Linked DNA regions of Rattus norvegicus. The protein of the gene in region 3 interacts with the protein of the main gene of each other region in a biochemical or structural test. Links are inferred from orthologs where the notes say so. Each region holds a gene or a part of one and is shown on either strand. Other genes may lie near its edges.

Evidence for each region.
Region 1: the proteins of Htra2 (region 3) and Xiap form a complex in vitro, tested with the Homo sapiens proteins (10 studies listed by BioGRID and IntAct, with this or other methods). The link is inferred for Rattus norvegicus from reciprocal best matches to the Homo sapiens genes HTRA2 and XIAP.
Region 2: of the proteins of Htra2 (region 3) and Mapk12, one has a biochemical effect on the other in vitro, tested with the Homo sapiens proteins (2 studies listed by BioGRID and IntAct, with this or other methods). The link is inferred for Rattus norvegicus from reciprocal best matches to the Homo sapiens genes HTRA2 and MAPK12.
Region 4: the proteins of Htra2 (region 3) and Lats1 form a complex in vitro, tested with the Homo sapiens proteins (2 studies listed by BioGRID, with this or other methods). The link is inferred for Rattus norvegicus from reciprocal best matches to the Homo sapiens genes HTRA2 and LATS1.
Region 5: of the proteins of Htra2 (region 3) and Csn2, one has a biochemical effect on the other in vitro, tested with the Homo sapiens proteins (2 studies listed by BioGRID). The link is inferred for Rattus norvegicus from reciprocal best matches to the Homo sapiens genes HTRA2 and CSN2.

The regions. Positions count from the first base shown.
Region 1 is NC_086039.1:125,791,006-125,794,505, forward strand, and holds part of Xiap (E3 ubiquitin-protein ligase XIAP), read left to right. Parts: intron 1-639; coding exon 640-682; intron 683-2,525; coding exon 2,526-2,726; intron 2,727-3,500.
Region 2 is NC_086025.1:122,086,308-122,089,807, reverse strand, and holds part of Mapk12 (mitogen-activated protein kinase 12), read left to right. Parts: intron 1-48; coding exon 49-163; intron 164-1,240; coding exon 1,241-1,312; intron 1,313-1,410; coding exon 1,411-1,490; intron 1,491-1,560; coding exon 1,561-1,639; intron 1,640-1,722; coding exon 1,723-1,896; intron 1,897-3,433; coding exon 3,434-3,500. UniProt on the Homo sapiens protein: Serine/threonine kinase which acts as an essential component of the MAP kinase signal transduction pathway.
Region 3 is NC_086022.1:117,114,994-117,119,178, forward strand, and holds the start of Htra2 (serine protease HTRA2, mitochondrial), read right to left. Parts: upstream 2,801-4,185; 5' UTR 2,777-2,800; coding exon 2,271-2,776; intron 2,167-2,270; coding exon 1,962-2,166; intron 1,873-1,961; coding exon 1,678-1,872; intron 1,416-1,677; coding exon 1,383-1,415; intron 1,224-1,382; exon of another isoform or gene 1,168-1,223; coding exon 1,062-1,167; intron 914-1,061; coding exon 844-913; intron 190-843; coding exon 94-189; exon of another isoform or gene 88-93; intron 1-87. Other genes in the region: lipid droplet-regulating VLDL assembly factor AUP1, read left to right, coding at 3,126-3,175, 3,254-3,391, 3,471-3,621, 3,845-4,029.
Region 4 is NC_086019.1:4,001,301-4,004,800, forward strand, and holds part of Lats1 (serine/threonine-protein kinase LATS1), read left to right. Parts: intron 1-704; coding exon of another isoform or gene 705-713; exon of another isoform or gene 714-767; intron 768-1,839; coding exon 1,840-2,422; intron 2,423-3,500. UniProt on the Homo sapiens protein: Negative regulator of YAP1 in the Hippo signaling pathway that plays a pivotal role in organ size control and tumor suppression by restricting proliferation and promoting apoptosis.
Region 5 is NC_086032.1:20,604,824-20,607,192, reverse strand, and holds part of Csn2 (beta-casein precursor), read right to left. Parts: intron 1,744-2,369; coding exon 1,720-1,743; intron 1,631-1,719; coding exon 1,589-1,630; intron 430-1,588; coding exon 1-429. UniProt on the Homo sapiens protein: Important role in determination of the surface properties of the casein micelles.

The DNA.
Region 1 (3,500 bases), on a different chromosome or scaffold from region 3:
CACACCATGTGTTGTACCTGAGGAAGCCATAAAAGGGCATGATTTGGTATTAAAATTACAGGCAGTTATAAGCTGCCCAGTATGAATTCTGGGAACTGAACTCTGGTCTTCTAGGAGAGCAACAGGTGTTCTTAACTGCTAAACCATCTCTTTAGTAACCCTTTAGCGGATAATACTTAAGATTACAAAAATAAGGACAGGGATATACATGGGTTTTACTTTTTCTGGCTAGCATAAACAAGCCCCTGGATTCAATCTCTGATAAGACAAAAAAATTTAATAATATGTCTGAATTGACATATAGGACAGTGGCAATCATAGCATTAGTAAACTGAGAAGAACCTTGGACTGTGATGGGAGTCTAGAACTGACATGATGGTTCTACCATTAGTTTCTAGTTGAGTTTGTATTTGTTTCCCTCCGGGGAGTCATTTGATCTCATTGGCCCTTGGCTTCTTGTTTGTAAAGGGGCGATGATTAGATAGTCTTGCCTTCCTTCCATTCTGTTGGCTGGGCTCTTATGGATAGGCATGTTTCGAATTAGAATAAAGCCAATTTGTTTTATGTTTATTAACTTTTCAAATTGAGATAATTGCTTTTTGCTAAAGTGAAATCTTACCATTCATGTTTCTATTTTAGGTAAGAACTGCTGAAAAAACACCATCAGTAACTAAAAAAATCGGTAAATATGTTTATTAAAAATCTGTTTAGTTTTGTGGCCAGTTTATTATAGTTTGTTTAATGAGGCTGCTATAAATTTAAGAATTTAATTAAGTGCTTATAATTTTATACCAGACATTTTTGTAGTGAGTACATTAATAGAAAGCCAGGTGCTAGAGCGCTTGCCTAGGAAGCGCAAGGCCCTGGGTTCGGTCCCCAGCTCCGAAAAAAAGAACCAAAAAAAGAAGAAAAAAAAAAAAAAAAAAAAAAAAAAAAGAAAGCCAGGTGCTATGGTGCAAATCTATAATCCGAGCACTGAGGATGTTGAAGCAGGAGAATCCGGAACCTGTGGTCAGTCTGGGTTGCATGGCATGGTTTTAAGAAAGGAAGGAACGGAGGGAGGAAAATGTATTAAAGCAACAAAGGTATTAAAAGTTTAGATTTTAATTTTTCATTCATTTATTTATTTTATATGTATGGGTGTTTAGCCTTCATATATGTGTGCCTAGTTGCCCCAGAAGCCAGGAGAGGTATCAGATCCCCTGGAACTGAAGTTAAAGGTGGTTGTGAGCCACCATGTGAGTGCTGGGAACTGAATTCAGGTCCTCTGGGAGAGCAAGTGTTCTTAGCCTCTGAGCCATCTCAGTAGTCTATCTACTGTGTAGGCCGGACTGGCCTGGACCTCTCTCTTTCTGCCTCAGTCTCTTAAGTGCTGGGATTGAGGGAGTGTACCCCCATATACAGCTAAAGCTGATAGTGTGCTGGCAGCCGAGCCCAGTGAATGCCAAGTACTCTGAGCTGCAGCCTCAGTAGTGTTCCTACAGTTCCCTTGAAGAAACAAAGAGGTGATGTGATCTGCCTACTGCCGTGTTATCATTTTGTTTTGTTTCGTTTTGTTTTGTTTTTAGAGATAGGGTTTCTCTGTGTACTCTGGCTATAATGAATTTGCTTTATACACCAGGCTAGCCTCAAACTCACAGAGATCTGCCTGCCTCTGTCTCCCAATTAAAGGTATATACTATTATAAATTAGTAATAGAACTAGCATTATAAACAAGGTCTTCTAAATCACATAGCATATTGTAGATGTAATTTTTAGTGGGGTTATGTATGGTGTTTTGGTGGTAGTGGTGTGGAACAAAGTGTTTCATTGTATCTCAACTGTCCTAGAACTCACTTTGAAGATCAGGCTGGTCTCAAATTCCCAAATACCTTCCTGCCTCTGCCTTCAGAGTGTTAAAATTAAAGGTGTACACCATAACACCTGACACTGGAGTTCTTTTGGAGTTTCGATTTATTTGTCTTTTGTGGGGTTTGTTGATTGTTTTTAAGATCTGCTTTTTCAATTGAAGTGGTATGTTTCAAAGAAAGCTTAATTTAGAGTATCTGATGAGTCCCTGTTCCCTAATGTTGTAACATCATCTGTTTTGTGTGTCAAGGATTAGAAAGCAGGAGAATACTACAGGTATTTATAAATATGCTCGAAATGCGGGGCTATGTTGAATTATTTGGAATGGATTTGGTAACAGGCATAAATAACAAAGTTAAAGAAAGAATTTTCCCTAGCATACTTTTTGTGGTTTCTCAAGACAGGGTTTCCTGGATGTATTTGAACTTTCTCTGTAGACCAGGCAAGGCTAGAACTCAAAGATCTGCCTGTCCCTGCCTCCTGAGTGCTGGGAATAATGGCGTGCACCACCGCTTTTCTTCTTAACTTTGGGGATCAAAACCACAACACCACATATAGTAGGCAAACACTACCACTGAACTCTTCAGCTATCTTAAGTCCCTTAACTGTTTTACTGTTCAGTCATGTTAATGAAAATACTTGTATTATGTTCTTTCTCCACCCAACTTTGATTTCAGATGATACCATCTTCCAGAATCCTATGGTGCAAGAAGCTATACGAATGGGATTCAACTTCAAGGACATCAAGAAAACAATGGAAGAAAAGCTCCAAACATCTGGGAGCAACTATCTATCACTTGAGGTTCTGATTGCAGATCTTGTGAGTGCTCAGAAAGATAATTCGCAGGATGAGTCAAGTCAGACTTCATTGCAGAAAGGTATACATTGCTTGTTTCTGTCGGGAAAATCACCTTGCAGCCCATTCATTTCCTCTCTAATATCCCCATGGCATTAACACTTTGACTCTTTTATTATGGTAAACTTGAAACACAAACAGAAGTGGAAAGAAGAATGGGTTCGCTTCAATAATAAGCAACTTTTTTGTCATCTTAAGTCCCATCTTCTCTCTTTTTGGCCATAGTAAATGTCTATTTTGACATATATTCAACATAGAAGGGTATTTGTACATGTGCCCTTAATGCTGCTTCCTCAGGCTACTATAAGAAAATTCCACAGAACTGGGAAAGTCCAAAAGTAGATCCCCTGCAGATAGTTGACTTCCCAAAGTAGTGTGTATTTCATGCTAAAAATTCCCCCAAGAGTTCTCATGCTTATGACTTGATCAAACCTAATTGTATTCATGCATTGCTTAACAATGAATATATGTGTTGAGACATGGGTTGTTACATAATCTCATCATTGAATGAACGTCATCACTTATACTTACACAAACATAGATGGCATGTGTCCCAACCACTTGTTGTGGCCTCTTATCAAGTTTTATTAACTATATGTTATGCTTTCATATAACTAGCAGCTTAGGAGGTTGATTCATACCAACATCCTCACAAACCCGTGATGCATTATGCTATGACATTAGAAACAATACATGTTCTCTGGTACCAAAGCATTGTCCACTAACACTTGACTCTTTCCCAAAGCCTTTCCTCTGAGCATCATTGTGGAAGGTTAAGCTTGCAGCATGTGAGCGT
Region 2 (3,500 bases), on a different chromosome or scaffold from region 3:
GTGGTCTATCCTCGGTGTCTAAGTTCCACCTCCCTGATACTTCTTTAGATCCTAGATTTTGGCCTTGCCAGGCAGGCGGACAGTGAGATGACAGGATATGTGGTAACCCGGTGGTATCGGGCACCAGAGGTCATCTTGAATTGGATGCGTTACACACAGACAGGTAAGAGGCTATTCAGAGACTCCAGTGCATGCCACCCACATTTACACATTCGTTTTATTTTTAAATTATTTTTGTAGTATTGGCGATGGAATCCAGTCTTATTCATGCTAGTCAAGTGCCCTGTCATTGAGCTACATCTCAGCCAGCCTGCCTGCCTTCCTTCCTTCCTTCCTTCCTTCCTTCCTTCCTTCCTTCCTTCCTTCCTTCTCTCTCTCCCCTCCTTTCTCCATTTTTATTATTTGTTGAGAAAAATGTGTGTGTACGTATATATATTCAGTTTGGTTGTTTTGAAGACAGGGTCTTACTATGTAGCTCTGGTTATTTTTGGAACTCACTATGTAGACTAGGCTGGCCTTGAACTCACAGAGATCCACTTGGCTCTGCTTCTTCTTGCTTGCTTGCTTGCTTGCTTGCTTGCTTGCTTTCTAGACCTTTTGTAGTCCTGGCTGGCTTGGAACTCACTAGGTAGACCAGGCTGGTCTTGAATCCACAGAGATCGACCTGCTTTTGTCTGTTACAACCTGGGGATTAAAGGCTGTATTACCATGTCCAACCCATTCTTATTTTTTTTTTCTTTTTTTCGGAGCTAGGGACCGAACCCAGGGCCTTGCGCATTCTTAATTTTTATAAGAACCTATTTCATTATTTTATGTGTGTAAGTACTTATGTGCACGTGTCCATCACCTGTGTACTTGGTGCCCACAGACACCAGAAGAAGGCACTGGGTTCTCTAGCACTGGAGTCACAGATGGCCGTGAGCTATCACGTAGGTGCTGAAAACCAAACCAAGGTCTTCTGGAATAGCATCCCTCGCTCTTAACTGATTAGCCACTTCTAGCTCCCTTCATTTCTTGATAGGGAGTCATTTGTAGGCCCTACCTCTGGGAGGTTAGTGAACTGGGGTGGAACTCTGTCACCCTCCTCAATGACAGTCTCTGCTCTGTGCCTATGTACACACCTGCCTCCCTGTCACGTATACTTGTCTCCTATGTGTGGTTTCTTGTGTGTCCCCTTTTCTTGGCCTTCATGAATGTGAATGTGACCCTTGTGTGTGGGGCACCGATGGACGTTTCTCAGTGGACATTTGGTCTGTTGGCTGCATCATGGCAGAGATGATTACTGGAAAGATCCTGTTCAAAGGCAATGACCGTATCCTTCGATGTAGAACATCATTTGACTTTGGCCATGATGTGGGTTCTGGGTGGGCCACCCTCTGCCCCTGCATTGTATTCCTGACCTTGATACAGACCTGGACCAGCTGAAGGAGATCATGAAAGTCACAGGGACACCCCCTCCTGAGTTTGTACAGAAGCTACAGAGTGCTGAGGTCAGTGGGGAGTGGGCAATGGGCTGGACTTGGACTTAGAGGCTGGCCTATCACCCTTTTTCCCTCACAGGCCAAGAACTACATGGAAGGCCTCCCTGAGTTGGAAAAGAAGGATTTTGCTTCTGTCCTGACCAATGCAAGCCCTCAGGGTAGGGCTGGATGGGTGAAGGTTTCAGGCAACTGGGTGAGTATGCCCTCTTTTGTGGCTGGGCCTGATTTGCTCTCCCCACAGCCGTGAATCTCCTGGAAAAGATGCTGGTGTTGGATGCGGAACAGCGGGTGACAGCAGCTGAGGCATTAGCCCACCCATACTTTGAGTCCCTTCGGGACACTGAGGATGAGCCCAAGGCCCAGAAATATGATGACTCCTTTGATGACGTAGACCGCACCCTTGAGGAATGGAAGCGTGAGTATGGGTGACACATAATGTCAGGCTTTGGACCCTGTGCGTCCTGTGTGGATGAGCCTCCGACCCTGGGTTGCAGGTTAGATAAGAAGTTGGGAGGTCAAAGGGCATTGTGGGGCAGTGCAACTCAACCAGGTTGACTTCTGGCTAGGGCAGAACGCAGTGGTGAAGAGTGTCCTTTTCAGGAGCTCTGACGAAGGCTGGCATGTGATGGGTCCCATGCCATCAGACGTGGTGCATCTGTGTGTGCTTCGCGCCCTTGGCTTGCTAATTCCCTGGCCTTTCTCTCCCCAACCCCTACACTGCCCAGTGTCCTCATGTCTAGACCACACTGAGGCCTTCTCTACCACCACCTGTCCTTAGGACTTTCTTCTCACACCTTTAAAATTTATCCTTTCCTCTCCTTAGTCCTTTTCAGAACCTCTCCTGAAACAACTATATCTTTCTTTTTTTTTTTTTTTTTTTGTTTCTTTTTTTCGGAGCTGGGGACCAAACCCAGGGCCTTGCGCTTCCTAAGCAAGCGCTCTGCCACTGAGCCAAATCCCCAACCCCAACTATATCTTTCTTATGTTCTGCCCATGGAAGACAGTATATTCCCACGCAGGCCCAAGGGCCCAACTTTTCCTTCTCACCTCCAGCCCCAGATCCCTCCACATCTATGTGCCGAACCTCCAGGTTCTGGGAAGAGCATCTTCTCTTTGAGAACTGGCCCCAGAGAAGCCTTCTCAGTTTGCCTACTGTTCCGTGGGCTGGAACTAGCCTCTGGTGTCTGCTCCAGACTGGCAGGTCCAACCTGCCAGTAGGGAGTAGGGAGGTCTGGGGACATGCTATCCCCATCCCTTGTCCTGTCTGCCTCAGACCCCAGGCCCTGTTCTTGCACCCTGGAGTGGGAAAGACTGGGTGGGTTGAGGTTCTCTCGTATCATGTTCTAAAAGCCCTGGCAGGTGTTCGTCCCTTAAGTGTTGTGTACTGATGAGCTTGGTTCTGTGTGACGAAACCCTTCTGCTGCTAAACAAAATGACTCCCTTAACCACGTACCACAAGATCCGTTCTGTGGTCTCCATCTACTCGCTGTGGCTGGATGCTGTTGCTTTCACCATAGACCACACAGACACACAACTGAGACCTCGAATAGCTCATAGCTCACACTTTCTTTTCTCGCTTCCTTTTTTTTTAAATACAGACCTACCTCTCTCTCTCTCTCTCTCTCTCTCTCTCTCTCTCTCTCTCTCTCAACACAAACCTTTTACTTTATTTTATTTATTTTTTTTCGGAGCTGGGGACCAAACCCAGGGCCTTGTGCTTGCTAGGCAAGCGCTCTACCACTGAGCTAAATCCCCAACCCCTTATTTTATTTTTTGAACATCAGCCTTCATCACTTGTTTGCCTGGGGAAATCTAGCTTCACAGCAGTCTTTAGTGTTTTTAGGTGGATTGGTCCATTTAGGATTAGATTAAAAAGCCCATGGGGGTGCTGGCTTCTCCCCTTGGTTGGAAGCTGTCTAACTGTATCATTTGCTTCTCTTCCTTTCCTGCAGGTGTTACGTATAAGGAAGTGCTCAGCTTCAAGCCTCCCAGGCAGCTAGGAGCCAGAGTTCCAAAGGA
Region 3 (4,185 bases):
CAGGGCAAGGAAGGAGTGGACAGCTGAGTTCAAGGATACATCCACACCACCCCACCCCACCCAACCCACCCCACCGAGCAGGCGCCACATCACCTGTGTGCAGGGGAGCCCAGGATAACTTTATGAATGAGGACACCATGCTGAACATCAGGGAAACTTGGCTCTCGGAGCTGTAGCTCAGCAAGGATGCTGGAAGGGTACAGACCACTCTGTTAGCAACACACAGGCCCTCTCCCATCTTGACAGTTCACTTTCTGCCTTCTAGAGCTTAGGAAGTAGGATACACACATAAAAGACAGCTAACTGGGGCTGGGGATTTAGCTCAGTGGTAGAGCGCTTACCTAGGAAGCGCAAGGCCCTGGGTTCGGTCCCCAGCTCCGAAAAAAAAAAAAAGAACCAAAAAAAAAAAAAAAAAAAAAAGACAGCTAATTTCAAAAGATACACAGTGTTGAATCAACTTCACTTCTGTCACTCTGAAATTCTACGGTAAGGAAGGGGTAGAACTTAAGCTAAGCCTAGAAGGGTGGGCCCTACAACTGTATGAAATAAAGTTGAGACATAGAAGTGGAAAGTCAAAGTCACTCTGAGGAAATGATGAGCTGTCTAGAAGGATAACTAGAGGTGGGAGAGATCGTTCCTCAATGCTAGGGCAATGGAGGCTTTACATTATGGTAATAACAGGATGTACTCAGTCTACTGAAGGGTACGAGATGCATAGGTGAGAAAGTTATGATGAGAGGGAGCAGCTCTGTGACAGAGACAACAGCTAATATTAAAGACAAACATAGGAGCAAAAGCCAAGAGGTGCACCACTGAGAACATGGGTCCTATATATATGTATACCTGGGGGTCAGAGTCAGCATCATCACTCCAATGTAGCGGCGTTGGGACCCACTGATTCCAAACCAGGAATCTGTAAAGAGAACATGAGCCCACCAGCTTCATTCTTTCCCTTACTTCCTACCAGTTAGACCCCTCTACACCAAGTCCTGATGAATGCCCCTCCCTTGGGTCCCCTCCTCCATTTTAAAGGAATCCCTTTCCCTGTAAGACAGGCTCACTTTTCTTCTCCCCGCGATGCAGGAACTCCCTAAGGCGATCAGAAGGGATGGCAAAGGAGATTCCAGCTGTCACCTTCATGGTGTTCACTCCAATCACCTCCCCATCCTGCAGGGACACAGCCCCATCCCCTAGCCCACACAGATGGCAGAGGATGGGGGCACCTGAACAAGAGTAGCAAGGATTTGGGGACAGGGGTCTGTCTGACTATGAGGAGACGAACAAGAGGCTAGAGACTTAGCTAAAACTCCCTGAATCAGAGGATAACACACACTTCCCACACTGACCTGTGGGGCATGCATTCTTAGAACATGGGCACTCACCAGGTTAACCAGGGGACCACCAGAATTTCCAAACTGTGAGATAAAATGAAAGAAAACATCAAAAAGATCTGGAATTCCATGCCTCTGGGAATTTTAAGACTGTGGTCATAAACAGGGTTAGGGAAATACTTCGAATTCCATTCCTAGCATGAACTAGAGTGGCTGCATTTTGCAGACCAACCTCTGCTACAGGCCCAGTCACCACGTGTCAGCTGGTGTCAGCTGGTGATCATACCTGACAGCTGTTGCCCCCAATTCCCACCTAGCACCTAATTTCCCTCCTCTCAGGACGCACGTCAATAGCTGCATCGGTCTGAATGTATTCCACGTTGGTCTGAGGGAGCCCCAGGTCCCTGGCTGGTCGCTGAGCAGAGCTGACAATGCCGGACGTGATGGTGTTCTGCAGAGCGAAGGGACTTCCCATGGCAACAACAAACTCCCCTTGCCGGACATCAGCGGAGCGGCCGAGGGGCAGTGTGGGAAGAGGCTCCTTAAGGGAAATGAGTACACCAAAACTGGTCATTTTAAGACGGAAGGAAGTAAACTGCTGCCATCAGATCTGGCCTACTCCATTCCCACCTTGGTTTGAATCCTTAATGTGGCAATGTCTGCTACAGGATCCACAGCTGTGACCATGGCCTCATAAGTGTCTCCGCTAGGTAGCCTCACTCGCACTCGGCGCCGATCAGCCACCACGTGGGCGTTGGTTACGATGAGCCCATCTGAAGCCACTATGAATCCTGAACCGTTTGAGATGGGGACTTCACGGCCGGAGAAAGGGTGCCTGGGATGGGGAAAGCACCGATTACACTGCAGCTTCCACCCTATCCTGTTCCCTTGCCTTTCCGGCATTTGGTTTCAACACCACCTGGTCAACTTCACCATTACCGGTCTAGGATCTCGATATAGACCACAGCAGGGGCTGTCTTCTCCACCACGTCTGCGATGAAATTGTACTGGCTCCGGGGAGAGGTGGGTGGCGGAGCAGGAACAGCAGCCAGCACCGTGGAAGGACCCCGCCCCCAACCCCACAACAACAGCAGCACTGCACCCCCTGCGCCCAACGCCACCGCTAGCCATTCGCGCCGACGGCTTCCAGGGCTCCCGCAGTCCTCCTGGTCACTAGAGCCTGGAGTCCCCACAGTCAGTCGTACCCAGAGATCCGGGGTCCCAGACGTCAGATTTGCCCGTGATGCAAGGACCCCCAAAGGCACCCGGGCCGGGAGACTGGGGGTCCCATAAGTCATCCGGGCCTGAGGGTCAGGAGTTCCTGACGTCAGCAGAGCCCGGAGGTCAGGGGCTAACAGGGGGCCCTTCCTCCAGAAGATGCCCCCCAAAGCCCGCCATGCCCGAAGGCTCCAGTTTGCACCCCGCCCCGCCTTCAGCGCAGCCATCTGCTCCGCCTCGGCTCTCCACGCCCGCCCTACTCAGAGGCGGTCTTCTGGAGCCCAGCAAGCCGTCTAGGAGAAGCAAGGCATGCCGGTATCCTTACAGTGTATGCCGGGAAATGTAGTCCCTTCAAAGACGCGCTCTCTAGACCGTACACACGCCCCCACACAAACACACACACATACACTTCCCCCGTGCCGCGAGGCATGCTGGGAACGCTAGCCCTTCCGGGGCGCCTCCGGGCCACGGGTTCTAGCGTCCCTGCGGCTGCCCAAAGACTCCGCCTTCCCAGGAGCCCCCGCGGCCCTGCGAAGATGGCGGCGACAGCGGCCCCACTTTCCTGAAGCGGCTGCGATGGAACCTCCCCCAGCTCCGGGGCCGGAGCGGCTCTTTGACTCGCACCGGTAAGCGCTGCGGAGGGAAGAGACCGGTCAGCGCGTCCCGTCGGCTTCGGCGCCTGATCGCGTCGCCTCTCGCCACAGGCTCCCGAGTGACGGCTTCCTGCTGCTCGCGCTATTGCTCTACGCGCCGGTCGGCCTCTGCCTCCTGGTTCTGCGACTCTTCCTCGGGCTCCACGTCTTCCTGGTCAGCTGTGCTCTTCCTGACAGCGTCCTCCGCAGGTGCGGACTGCGGCGCCTGGGGATCATCTGGTCTGGGCCTGGCTCAAGACCGCACAGTCACCGCCGCCTCTGTCCCCAGGTTCGTGGTACGAACCATGTGTGCGGTACTGGGGCTCGTGGCCCGACAGGAGGACTCCGGACTCCGGGATCACCGCGTCAGGGTCCTTATTTCCAACCATGTAACACCTTTTGACCACAACATAGTCAACCTTCTCACCACCTGTAGCACCGTGAGTGGGGGGCGAGGCCGAGAGCGCCACCGGGTGGCTCCCTAGGCCCAAGCTCAAGGCTCACCTTTACCCATTGGGGTTTGCTTGGGGAATACCGAGCCTTCTCCCTCGAGTCCCATAAACGCCACCCTATGTGTTACCTTTTTACTCTTTCTTCTCTTCTTTCTTTATTTTTGACATTTCCTTCCATTCTTTTCTTTTTGCTTTTTCTCCCTGCTCTCAGCCTCTACTCAATAGTCCCCCCAGCTTTGTATGTTGGTCTCGGGGCTTCATGGAGATGGATAGGCGGGTGGAGTTGGTGGAGTCACTCAAGAAATTCTGTGCTTCCACGAGGCTTCCACCCACACCTTTGCTGCTCTTCCCCGAGGAAGAGGCCACCAATGGCCGAGAAGGGCTCCTGCGTTTCAGGTGGGTAAGCGCAGCAGGTATCTGGTTCCAGTTGAGTGGGTTGCCAAGCTCCTGGGTGAGCCTGCCCTAGTGTGTTACCTGTCTGCCCACTTTTAGCCCTGCCCTCCAAATTCTTAATTCCTCGGTTATCTGCTTATGTAGTTGGACAGTTTACTA
Region 4 (3,500 bases), on a different chromosome or scaffold from region 3:
ATATGCTACCAATATCCAACAGGTTCTAGATTTTATACATTATTTTACAACATACACAAGTCAGATAGAAATATCTGAGTTACCTCTTGATACATATAGAAAGCATTGTCATTTGGTTGAGAATCTGATGTTTATTCCTTACATACACGTTGTTAGAAAGTGTTAAAATCACTGGGCATGGTGACTCCCACGTTTAATCTCAGCACTCAGGAGGCGGAGGCCAGCAGTCTGCATTGTTAGTTCCCACATCTATACAGCAAAGCACATGCCCCCCCCCCCCACACACACACACAAAGAAAAAAGCTAAAAACAGAAGTAAAAAGAAATGTCAGAACCATTGCTTTACCGTTACTTTCCTCTTCTAATATTTGAGGAAAATGTGCTGAAATGCTGGGTGTGTGGAGGAGACGGGGCTCGCTGTGCTCCCGGGTAGGACTATCACCATCATGGTGTTGTCTTATGCTCAGAACGCCAAGCTTTGACTCCTCCCTTGTTTGACATCTACTGCTCAAAGTGTGAGAAGATTACGCTTCTTCTCAAATCTCACTTTATAGTTCAGTACACTGTTTTCTTACTATAAATAATTATGTTAAATGAGAAATACCCCAAATTCTCTTATTCATATTGTTCTTAGAATTTCTTACTTAAGTCTGTCTATTTTTCTTAGTTTATTTTTCCTTTTTCCTCTTCACTTTCACTAATAGCTGACTTAAACTTTCATGGTGTTGGAAGCTTTGCTGACTTCTGTAGCCTCCATTACTGTGTAGGCAAGTAAGATTTTAAGAGAAAGAGTTCTGTACTAAGTCTGGCATGCTACCACTCTGAAAAAACATTGCATGCAAATGCACATCCTAACAGAAGCATGAGGTTGCTGTATTGAAATTAGTCTTGCATTTCTAAAATTAGACTCTACTTTTCTAAGTCTTGTCCTTTTCAACGTTAGTAAATTCTTCCTGAGCTAAGAACCCCTACAGGCCATCTAAGTCCACTGCTTACAACTGACCTTTGTGTTCATCCATTGTGATAGTGCCCTTATTCACAAGAACTTTAAAAACTACTTCAGAATATCTAAAGGATAAGCACGTTATCCCTTTTGTACTTTGTTAGAGGTGGACTGGGTCTCACCTTTATGCTGATATCCTAAGAAAGAAAAAGAAGATTACCATGACTTTTATTTATTTTTTTAGCTCAGAGAACATGTAGAGTTCAGAGGACAACATGAAGGAGTTGGTTGCTTCTGCCCACCATGTGGTCCTAGATTAACGGAGAGAGTCAGACTTGGCCAGAGGTGCCTTTACCAGCTGAGGCCACCCTTCCTCCCTCCCTCCCTCCTTCCTCCCTCCCTCCTTCCTCCCTCCTTCCTTCCTGTTTTAAAGAATGATTGAACCTAGAGTGAAAGAATTCTTTCTGTGAAAGAAAATCAAGGGGAAAATATTTGAGGCCTAGCCATTCTACAAAAAAAGATTTAGTGAAGGTGTCTGACCCTGTAGTCTGGAGATGTGCATGACGAGAACTGAGAATGTGTGTTCACAGACACTGGTTTTATTGTGCATTCGAAGCTATTCCTTGAGTGCTTTAGAGAGGAGTAGAAGCCTGACTGTTGATGTCCTCTTGTTGCTCCCCACAGCTGGATTTGCATATATACTCACTTTGTGTATTGTTTACTATCTCTTAAGCTTGACTTGATCATTAATTTTTCTCTGAAATACAGTCTAGAATTCTAACATGCTTTATTAAAAATTATGCATTTAACTTTCAAAAATATGCCTGAATTATTTTTTAAGCCGTGTCTTACTATTTAATACAATTCCTTATTTAACCTCTAGTTTATTTACCTAGGTTGGATTATCTCAAGATGCCCAGGATCAAATGAGAAAGATGCTTTGCCAGAAAGAGTCTAACTATATTCGTCTTAAAAGGGCTAAAATGGACAAGTCTATGTTTGTAAAGATAAAGACATTAGGAATAGGAGCATTTGGTGAAGTCTGTCTAGCAAGAAAAGTCGATACGAAAGCTTTGTATGCAACAAAAACTCTACGAAAGAAAGACGTTCTGCTCCGAAATCAGGTGGCTCATGTGAAAGCTGAGCGAGATATCCTAGCAGAAGCTGACAACGAGTGGGTGGTCCGCTTGTACTACTCATTCCAGGACAAGGACAACTTGTACTTTGTGATGGACTACATTCCTGGGGGTGATATGATGAGCCTGTTAATTAGAATGGGCATCTTTCCCGAAAACCTGGCACGATTCTACATAGCAGAACTTACCTGTGCAGTTGAAAGTGTTCATAAAATGGGTTTTATTCATAGAGACATTAAACCTGATAACATTTTGATTGACCGAGATGGACATATTAAATTGACTGACTTTGGCTTGTGCACTGGCTTCAGATGGACACATGACTCCAAGTACTACCAGAGTGGTAAGTGAGCTTGTAAGTTCCATTGAACTCACCATAGTGTAGTCCGTTTATGCAGCACGACTTACAATGGCTTCAACGCTGATGAGACCAGTAGACATATAGACTGGTTCTTACTTTCTTAATAAATCTGGATGAATCTCATGAGCATATACATTTATAAAGTTAAAAAGTACATAAAGTTTATTTCTAAATATTATTTAAAAATTTTAAGGGGCTGGAGAGATGGCTCAGTGGTTAAGAGCGCCGACTGCTCTTCCAGAGGTCCTGAGTTCAAATCCCAGCAACCACATGGTGGCTCACAACCATCTGTAATGGGATCTGGTATGTCTGAAGACAGCTACAGTGTACTCGTATACAGAAAATAAATAAATTTTAAAAAAAATTTAAGTAACTAATACAAAATTTTGTAACTTTTGAAATGTGCCAGTTTTTAAAATAATTTTTGAATAAAGTCTCCCCGGAGACATCCATTATTTAGAACGTTGTACCCCATTCTTTACTTTTCTTATTTTGCTGCTGCTATTTCCGAGCCCCTGCCTGCTAGACAAGCATTCTACTCCCGAGCTGCAGCCTTACCATGTGTATTTCTTATTTTGAAACAATATCTCAGTAGGTTGCCCAGACTACAGTTGAACTTATACCCAGTATAAGCTTCAACTTGGGTTCCTTCAGCCTCAGGTTTCTAATAATTGGGATCATAGGCCTGTGCAACTAGGCCTGGACACCATATTGTATAGCTTTATATATTATATTTCTCACCAATATATTACTTCTTTTTTTCTATTTTTGAAACTATAATCATTATGTATTTTTGTTTCTTTTTTTGTTTACTTGTTTTGTTTTTGAGGTTTCTCTATGAAAGTGTGTGTTTTCAGTGCTATTTAGAGCATATAACCTGTTTAACTGTCATATAACCTTTTAACCCAACACATACATACACATGATTCTATTTAGTCATATGACACTGAAGCAGAATGAAGATGTGAGACTTAGGTGAAGTAACTCATCCAAGGTCAGACAAAGTTAAGTGTAAGGGCTAGGCTTTGAACTTAGGTTTGTCTGATTACAGGGCCCATGT
Region 5 (2,369 bases), on a different chromosome or scaffold from region 3:
TTGGAAGAGGGGTGCTAGTTGCTGCACAAGGTACTGACTTTTGGACTGAGGAAGAGACAGCTGGGGCTGAGAAGAAACCACCGCGGGAGTCTGAGGAAAAGCCTGCACAATTTGTGCCTGGAGCTGGGCTGGAGACTGAGGAAGGTGCAGATTAGCAAGATCAAGACTGGGGATTTGAGAGTTAAAGAGGCGGAGCACGGTTTCAGAGTTAAGGAAGGGCATCTGTTTGTGCTTGGGAAGGACAGTGGCTTTAGCTTTAAGGAAGGATTCCAGTTCAGGAGAAATGATAGGCCCAACAGTTGGCACCACAGGGGGTTGAGCAATAGGCTGGATGTTTTGTGGAATGGGACTGCAAGAGATGGTCTGGGCATATGGAATGGCCTGGGGTTCTGACTGAATGCCGGAGTGAAATTTATTCTGGAGCACATCCTAGAAACAAAAGAACCTTTAGTCCACAATTTAGCAAAGTCGACATTCTTGATTAATTAATAATCTTTTACCCAATAATAAGCAACAGAATGAACAACCTCAAAAATCTTCATTTGCTTAAAAATCTACTTGGCCTAGATGAATACAGTGTCTAATGGCTCTAAATCTAGCAAGTTGAAGCCTGATGCAGGAGAATTGCTAATACTTTGAGACCAACCTGAGATAAAAAGTAAATTCTAGGCAATCCTGGAGTACACAGTAAGGCTTTTCATTTTAAGATACACAACATAAGAAAGCATTGTCTAGGGTCACATGAAGAAAATGAGTAAAGTGTTCTTAAGGGTTTTCTCCTAATCTATTCTACTCATGGATGAATTAAATAGTCCAAAATAAAACTGATGTTCAGGATTTCTCAAAATCTTTTCACTTTATCCCAAGCCACTTCTACATCTGTAGCTATTCATTTTGATATGAGAGGGTAGTGATTTCTCAAACCCTGTGGGATGATAATAGAACAAACTGTTTTTTATAATTGAAGGGAAATTAATTTTAAAAGGTTTAGTGGGATATCACTTTTTAAATTTTTATTTTGATCTAAAAGAATATGGTGTGAGCAGCAAGCAATTTACTTGGGAAAAAAATGAGTTAAACTATTTGATTCCATTATACCCCATTGGGTATATGACTAAAAGTGTGGTATGTTAATGGAATGTGATGCTATTTGGATAACCATTCATTTGAAGGCTTGCTCTGTTACTTTATGTCCCAGACTAAGCAGTGTAGCATTCAGTTGCTACACATATCTCACTGATCTTTTTTTGGACTAAAAATACCCTTAAGACCAGATAAACAAAAAATATAAATGCTATCATGAAGCAAAATCTGCATAAAAACCATTGACTCTACTGAAAGTCAGTTAACTACATGTATGAGAAATTCTTAAGAACGTTTTGGGCCTAGGAGTGAAGTACCTATACTACAAAGAGACTAATCAGCAAGAGTCTCCATTTGGCAGGTGGTCAGTTCAGTGCCACATTGGCAAAGGCTTGTGTTCATTATCAAGAGCAGATAACACCACTAGTAACTGCAGTCATGATGGAGAAAAGGTATTGATGGCCACACGCACTTTCTAGACAAGAATTCTTGATGGACAGTTTACCTCGGACTGCACCTGTCCCATGAGTTTCACCTTCTGAAGTTTCTGCCAGAAATAAACAATACGTGAAAATCTCAAACCTTTCATCTTCAAAAACAAAGTGTGGAAATAAAATGTAATGGGAAATAAAATACCTCATTGATATGTTCAACGGATTCCTTCAAGAAAGAAAGAAAAAAAACCATGTCATTTAGTTTTAGTGAATGGGCAATATTTTTCAATTCACATTGAAAATTAAGAAATTTAGTAAGTTATTGTGGCAGGTTATGAATGGGAAAAATTGATGAAACTTATATTTAAATTATTTAAAACATATTGTATAAACCTCTTTTATATAAGAATAGTGAGCACAGTCAAGACAGAAAAATAAATGAGCATGGTATACAAAGAGATATCCAAAGAATGCTAACTCCCTCTTCAACCGTGGTTCTTTCTCTACATAAGATCTTTAAATTCCATTCCTAAAACAAAACACACAAACATAGCTGAAAATACAGACTAATGACAATATACTGTAGTAATCACTCCGAGTTTACTAGCTAATATGCTAAGCTTCAAATGAACCATGAAAAATGAATACTTCCTCTGAGGCATTTGCAGCATTGCTAAGAGAAAATAATAAACAAATGCTAAGCTTTCGAAGTAAAGACACCTATGTGATACTCTCAGGAAAATTTAGGACTAAATCCTATCCTGTTGAGTCTTATTTACATAAATGACAACTTTAATAGCCAAGTATGTCCTTCTCCAAACCAGCCTACTAACTATAGAGTAAGCCTGTCAT